Linked DNA regions of Oryctolagus cuniculus. The protein of the gene in region 1 interacts with the protein of each later gene in a biochemical or structural test. Links are inferred from orthologs where the notes say so. Each region holds a gene or a part of one and is shown in the gene's direction. Other genes may lie near its edges.

What was found. The genes of interacting proteins can lie anywhere in the genome.
Region 2: the proteins of RLIM (region 1) and LHX3 form a complex in vitro, tested with the Homo sapiens proteins (2 studies listed by BioGRID). The link is inferred for Oryctolagus cuniculus from reciprocal best matches to the Homo sapiens genes RLIM and LHX3.

What each region holds. Positions count from the first base shown.
Region 1 is NC_091453.1:54,291,910-54,295,462, reverse strand, and holds part of RLIM (E3 ubiquitin-protein ligase RLIM), read left to right. Parts: coding exon 1-1,496; 3' UTR 1,497-3,553. UniProt on the Homo sapiens protein: E3 ubiquitin-protein ligase.
Region 2 is NC_091432.1:236,771,755-236,775,938, forward strand, and holds the start of LHX3 (LIM/homeobox protein Lhx3), read left to right. Parts: upstream 1-1,366; 5' UTR 1,367-2,666; coding exon 2,667-2,760; intron 2,761-4,184. UniProt on the Homo sapiens protein: Transcription factor.

The sequences.
Region 1 (3,553 bases):
GGCAAAGAGGAAACCAGTCTTGGAGAGCAGTGAGCCGGACTAATCCAAACAGTGGTGATTTCAGATTCAGCTTAGAAATAAATGTTAACCGTAATAATGGGAGCCAAAATTCAGAGAATGAAAATGAGCCATCTGTAAGACGTTCTAGTGGAGAAAATGTGGAAAACAGCCAAAGGCAAGTGGAAAATCCGCGATCTGAATCAACATCTACAAGATCGTCTAGATCAGAACGAAATTCATCTGAAGCATTAGCAGAGGCTCCACCTGCCAGAGGTCTGAGGAGGGCAAGAAGCAGGAGCCCCGACCATCGGAGAACCAGAGCGAGAGCTGAAAGAAGCAGGTCACCTCTGCATCCAATGAGTGAAATTCCACGAAGGTCTCATCATAGTATCTCATCTCAGACTTTTGAGCATCCTTTGGTAAATGAGACTGAGGGAAGTTCTAGAACCAGACACCATGTGACATTAAGACAGCAGATCACTGGACCAGAGTTGCTAAGTAGGGGTCTTTTTGCAGCTTCTGGAACAAGAAATGCCTCTCAAGGAGCAGGTTCTTCAGACACAGCCAGCAATGGTGAATCCACAGGATCAGGGCAGAGACCTCCAACCATAGTCCTTGATCTTCAAGTGAGAAGAGTTCGTCCTGGGGAATATCGGCAAAGAGATAGCATAGCTAGTAGAACTCGCTCAAGGTCTCAGACATCAAACAACACTGTCACTTATGAAAGTGAACGAGGAGGTTTTAGGCGTACATTTTCACGTTCTGAGCGGGCAGGTGTGAGAACCTATGTCAGTACCATCAGAATTCCCATTCGTAGAATCTTAAATACTGGTTTAAGTGAGACTACATCTGTTGCAATTCAGACCATGTTAAGGCAGATAATGACAGGTTTTGGTGAGTTAAGCTACTTTATGTACAGTGATAGTGATTCAGAACCTAGTGGCTCAGTCCCAAGTCGAAATATGGAGAGGGCAGAGCCACGGAATGGAAGAGGGAGTTCTGGTGGTGGTAGCAGTTCTGGTTCCAGTTCCAGTTCCAGTTCCAGTTCGAGCCCTAGCTCCAGTTCCAGTTCCAGTGGTGAAAGTTCAGAAAGTAGCTCAGAGGTGTTTGAAGGCAGTAATGAAGGAAGCTCATCATCAGGCGCCAGGCGAGAGGGTCGACATAGGGCCCCGGTCACATTTGATGAAAGTGGCTCTTTGCCCTTCCTTAGTCTGGCTCAGTTTTTCCTCTTAAATGAGGATGATGATGACCAACCTAGAGGACTCACCAAAGAACAGATTGACAACTTGGCAATGAGAAGTTTTGGTGAAAACGATGCATTAAAAACCTGTAGTGTTTGTATTACAGAATATACAGAAGGCAACAAACTTCGTAAACTACCTTGTTCCCATGAGTACCATGTGCACTGCATCGATCGCTGGTTGTCTGAGAATTCTACCTGCCCTATTTGTCGCAGAGCAGTCTTAGCTTCTGGTAACAGAGAAAGTGTTGTGTAATTAAGATCTGAACTTTCAGCTATGTAGCTGGTATAGTGATGGGCAAACAGGAATCACTTGTTTTATGTCCACTTTTTGAGTGGTGCTTAAATGTAAAGTAACAACCTGAATTGAGTCATTGCTTTCTGAAGGAATCATTGTCCTTTTTTGCAGTTTCTGTCCCAGAACACAAGGAAGCATTTAAAGAGCAACATTTTAGGATCTAACAATCTGATTTCAGTACCAGTTGAATTGATGACATCTCTGTTACTGATAATTTGTATCATATACACTTGTTGGTTTCTCCTTTGTTATCTTAAAGGATCTGCCTTAGCAATGGCTCCTATCTGTTTCATGTTGATCTTTATGTAAAGTTTCCCATGCCATAGGAGAGAGAGGGGTGAAGGAACTTCCCACTTTAGGCTAAGTTACAGTATGTGTTTCCTAAGTGATTACTTAAAACTGTACCATTCCCAGTTATTGACACAAATTCAGCCACATTCTGAGTATTGTTTGTTCACCTTTCAGACTAGGTGATACTGGACATGTCAGTGTAAATAACACTAAGGTTAGAATCCTCTAAGTGTATAACTGTCTCCTAAGCCCATCACTGTGGCACACTGTAGAGTGAGCTTATAGTTTAATTGAGATATTTATCTTGTGGAAATATTAAAAAGCCTATGCTTGTGTAAGTGAAAAAAATCACATTCATTTGTTTAAAAATGTAAAGCTATTTTGTAGAGGCTCAGTACTTTTCCAATGCACTGTTGTATTAATGCATAAAAAATTGTAAAGTACCATGCTTAGAAATGAGAGAACTGCTTTTTGTGAGCCAACATAGTTTAAAAAAAAAAAAACACACCAAACAAAGTACAAAGCTGCTTTTGTAAGTGTGTAGGTGTCAAGAGCAGAACATATCTATAATATTTAATGTATGTGAACAGCTACTGTGACATGCATAGGATAGGGCCATGCAGAGTCAAACTGCATTAAAGACCAATGGAAATTGTGTGTTTAACTTGAATTTAGGCAGGAAATGACAGATTGGAGTCAAGAAAACTGCTCTGAGGAGCATAAAATTTTCATGTAGACAGTAATAATGCAGACAACAACTGGTTCCATACAGTGAGAGCAGCAGCAGCATGACTTGGCATTCTACAGGAACATATGAGGCAGATCGGCAAATTTGGCAGAACTCTGGTTGCAGAGACACAAACCACTACATCAAGTTAAGTTGATGTTTTTGCAAGTCTGCACCTCCAACAGTGGAGGAAAGAGACTACAAACCACTTTTAGCATAAATTGCAGTTGGTACAGATGTGTGTGCTCATAGGAAAGTCTCGAATTTGCAGTGTTTTTGAGATTTGCCATTTAAGGTACTAGTGCACACTTGCTAATATTTCATCACAGTCTATCGCAGACTTAATATCTTGCATATGATGACCAGGTGAATTAAGGGATTTTTTTACCTTTCCTTGAAAGTGTATCATTTTGGCTTAATTGAAATTCAAAATTTAATTGTGGTGTCCATATTTGAAGATGAGACAGCTCACTCACTATGGACAGGCACTTTATGTTTTCTTAGTAGTAAGAGTAAATAATGATAACCCCAGTACTTTTGCCTAATTCCTCTCTTAAAGCTGGTTGGGGTCAGTCTGTGGAGCAGGTACTTGTTTTTCTGGGAAAAGCCAATAGGCCAGAAGAGGGCTTGAACACGTCCTTGGCCTTTAGCGAAATGAGCTAACTACCCAGACATAGTCAGATCCCTCTACAGAGTAAACAAGTCTGCTTTAGGAATTGTTCCTGGCTACCTTCACTGTTAGCAACTTCACTATAAAGATTATTTCAGAGTTCATTATCTCATGTTTTCTTCTCGCTTTCAATCCTACCTAAGTATCAAGGAAGTTAACTTGTAAATATGGTAGTTGTTTACTAAAGGATATGTACTGCTCTTGCAAGGAAATAATGTTCAAACAAAGCTTCACTTATTTTTTTTAATATAAGCAGATTTCACTGTTTATGGCGCTTATGTAATACATTTTATCTTTTAAAAAAAATTGTCCATGCAAAAGTCAGGA
Region 2 (4,184 bases), on another chromosome or scaffold:
GGTTCCCGTTTTGTACTCACACCGGTGGCTGCCAGCGGCCTCCTGGGGGCCCTGTCGGGCAGGGTTGCCGCTGGGGGGAGGGGTCTCCGGCCGGTGGGTCGCGCACAGACACGGGTGGCCCCCGCGTCGGGGTCCAAAGATGCCTCAGGAGCCGCCACTCCCCGCCGTGCGCCCCAGGACTTCCTCGCGGACCCGGGTTTGGCGAAATGGCCTCGGGGGGCCCACTCCGCGGGGCGCTCCGGGCAAGGTTCAAGTCTATTTTCTAAAGTTTAAGTATTGCGACTAATACAAATGATAGCTGAGTAATTTAAATGTTTATTTATTTTTAATGGAAGGATTTGCATTTTAAGAGCCCAATTGACATGGAAATGTTGGTGGAATTTCTTACCTGCAGAGAAAGTCAGCATTTTGTATTTAAATACATTTTAAAAATAAATCTGACGTTTGTGACCTGGTCCTTGTCAGGCGGGGCTTCCCCTACGAAACCAGAGACCCCCGGATGGCCGCGAGGGTCGGGTGGGAAGTGGAGGCTGGGGACGGGTGGCCGGTGAGCTCCCTGGGGCTGCTGCGGGCTGGGGCGGCCGCCGGACAGCTCGCGGACTTCCCGCCAGAGTGCGGTCCGTGGCAGCCCTTATTGGGGTAGGGGAGGGAGGCCCCAGGAACCCCGGCTCCCCACGCCCAACGCCACCGGGTTCCGGGAGAGCCTGGTGGGAAAGCTCCGTGTGCCCTGGGGTCGGCGCCCGGCGCGCCGCGCAGCGTTTGTGTCGGGTGACCACAGGTGCCCTTCCTCCTGGACGGGGCGCCCCGGTGGCCTGGAGCGCGGCCGGCAGTTGAGGTCGGCTGGGACGGAGGAGGTGCTGAGGCCAGCTGTGCGGGGAGAGCCCCAGGGCGCCCCGAGCTGCGGGCGTCCGGCGCGGAGACCCGCTTGCTGCGAACCCGGGAGGGGAGCTCAGGGCGCAGCGGAACCGGACGCGGCTGCCGCGTGGCTGCGGGGGCGAAGGCGAGGGCCGCGGAGTCCGGCCAGGCCCGCACGGGAGGGGCACGCGCCCGACGCCGACAGCCCGGGCCCCGGGGGCGGGCGGGGGGCGGGGACGGGGAGGGGGCGGGCGGGCGCGCAGGCGGGGCGGGCGGCGGGCGCCTCCTTCAGCACCGCGGACAGCGTCCGGCCGCTCCAGGAGCTCCCCGCGACGCGGAAGGGGCGCGCCAGGGCGGGGAGCTACGAGCCCTCGGGGGACGCGCGACTCAGCCCAGCCCGGCGGCCGCTATGCTGCTGGAGACGGAACTCGACCGCGACCCGGAGGGGCCCGGGGCCCCCGCGGCCACCGCCGTCTGCAGCCTCGGCGGGCCTCGGGGTAAGAGCCGGCGCGGCGCGGGGAACCGGGCGGCGAGGGATAGTCCGGGGACACGGGACGGAGCATGGAGGCGGCCACGGAGGCGAGGGGTGGCTCCGAGGGCCTGGCGCTGGCCTGCGTCGGGCCTTTGCTCCCCAGACCAGAGCCCCTCACAGCTCTGGCCCCCGGGCCGGGTCTCCCGCCTGAACCGCCCTCCCCAAGGACCATTCCGCTATTGTTGGCGCACTCGCCAGATGCCCAGCGGCGTGGGGCCGCCGCCTCCACCGCTACCGGCTTTTCCCGGTGAAGCCACACATGGCCCCGCCGTCCCTCTGCGACAGCTGACACTTAACGCCAGAACAACTCCGCTCCACGCCCCGGTGCCCTGGCCCTGGCCCTTCTAGGGTAACAGGCGCGGGGCAGGAGGGAGCCAGGGAGTCGCGCTGCCGGTGGCGACGCGGAACTGCGCGGGTCTGCAGGGGGCATTAAAGCACCGGGCACTTAGGGCAGCTGGAGGAGGCCTGGGTGACTCCCAGGTGCGTCCCGCTTTGTGCAAGGACAGAGGGGCTCCGACCGCTCACCTGTTTGGATTCTGGGCAGGAAGCTGCAAACCCAGGCGCCGAGACTTCTGTGCGAGGCGAGTGAGGCCGGGGGCGCCCGAGGGTGTGTCCCGGGCTTCCCCACTCAGTGCCCCAGACCCGCAGTCTTGGCTGCGTGTCCAGGCCGAAGACCTGAGCCTGCTCCCTCCCCAGAACCCTGCTCCTTCCCGACCCGACCCGGGCCTGGGAGCGAGGCCGCAGCGGAGGTCTGGGGTCGCGGCCGCCAGGAGGCCTTCCTTGCGGCTCCCGCGCTCTCTGAGCTCCGGGTCGCGCTCCAGGCGTCGTCACGAAGACTCCCAGCCCCAGCACCCGCTCCGGAGCCCCAGTCCCGGTCGCGGGAGGAGCCGGCGTCCTCCCAGGACCCCCAGCCCTGCTGGAGCTCACTTGGAGCCCGCGCCGGGACAGGAAGCTGCGGGGCAGGGCCTAACGCCTGTGGTCAGGCTGGACTCCGTCCTTCTCACGCATCCCCTCCCGCGGGCACTGCAAGGTCCCCGCGCTAAGGCCCGCAGAGCCCGCGGCCGCCCCTGGCGCGTGTCCGCGACCCCCGGCCCCGCCCCGCGTCTCGGCCCCGCCCCCGGCCGCTCCGCCCTCCGTGCGGCCTGAGTCTCGGGCCCCTGGGCCGCCCGCGGGCGCAGCGCCCAGCAGCGCCGGAGTCGCTCTGACCATTGCGACCGGGGCCTGGCCGGACCCCGGGAAAGTTCGGGCCCGGGGAGCGCCGGCGCCGGAGGCGGGACTCATGGAGGCGCGCGCGGAGCTGGGCCCGGCCCGGGAGCCGGCGGGCGGTGACCTGCTGCTGGCGCTGCTGGCGCGGAGGGCCGACCTGCGCAGAGGTGGGTGCCCCGGCGAGCGCAGGCCCGGAGAGAGGGACCTGGACGGGAGCGGGTGCGAGTTTGCGTCGGGGCCCCGGGCGCTGTCGGGTGTGCGGGGCACCTCGGCAGAGAAGCGCCTCCGGCTGGAGGGCGTGCGGGGAGCTGCCGCGGGGCCAGGTGACCCTGGGGCGAGAGCGTCCCAGGAGGGCTCTTCCCAGCCCACGCCCGCCCGACCCCGTCCGGGGGAGCCGAGTCCAACGAGGGGGACGGCTGACCGCCGCTCCCGCGCCCGCTCTGTGGACACCCAGACGGTCAGAACCCGCCTGCGGCTCGAGAAAGCCCGCTTGTCCTGGCCCCCAGCCTGCGGGAGGCACGAGCCTCGCTCCCCGCGCCCTGGGCCGCTCCCCGCGGGCTCCCGGGCTGGCGCGGTGGGAGTGCGAGGAACCGAGCGGGCAGGTGGGGAAGGGGCTGCATCCCGCTGCGGGGTCTCGCTGCCCCCTTATTTATTTATTTTCCGACGGTTCCTGGGAGGGGTGGTCTCAGGGCTGGGAGGAAGAGGCAGGAGAGGAGGGAGTCGCAGGGAGGGGAGAGGACTGGTCGCGCCGGCTCCGGGACGCCGGGCGACGGAGACCCCGCCGTGGCCGAACCACCATGCAGCGTAAGCCGGGGGTGGAGCGTGGGGCGGGCGTGGGCGCTTTTGCCTGATGCGGGCTCGGGGCGGCGCGACCCGGGCGCTGTCCGCGCGGCGGTGCTGAATTCGCACCGAGGGGACTTGTGCCACCCCAGCTGCACCCCCGAGGTCCTCGCCGTGGGGACCCCGGCGCGCCGAGCATCCTCAGCTCCGTACCGGGCCCGGCTTTGCCAGAGGCGGGACGAGTCGGTTGCAGAGAGCGAGGGTCGAGCCGGATTTTAAACTCCCAGGTCCCAGAGGGCTGCTTCCCGGTTCCTGGGACCCACTGGGGGGGTCTCTGTCCCCGCCCCGGCAGGAGGGGTGGGAGGGTGCCTACCCTTGCCCGCGCGCAGCGTGACAGCAGGCCGCGCCCCCTGCCTGGCTCCCCCCTCTCAGAGACCTTTTCCAAATTAGCAGGGTGGTCAAGCCCCAGGCACCCCAGGATTCCGGGCCCCCAAAGGCCAGACGTCTGAGGGATGTGACTGCGTGGGAGGAAAGGCACCTACTGTGTGCCTCTGCACCCCGGCCTGAGCCTGGTGCCCACAGGCCACCTGTACTCCTGTGGCCACCCCACATTTGTACCTCAATGGCCAGCAGACTGGGCCAGGCTGGGAGGCCACACACACCTTCTGGATGTTTCTAGAAAGTGTAACCATGACGCTTAGTTGTGCAAGGACATGCAAGGCAGCGCCCCGTGCCCAGCCTGTGGCCAGCCCCCGCGCCGGCCAAGGATTTGTCTTCCCATTTCCTACGCTGGATTCCCAGGGCAGAGCCT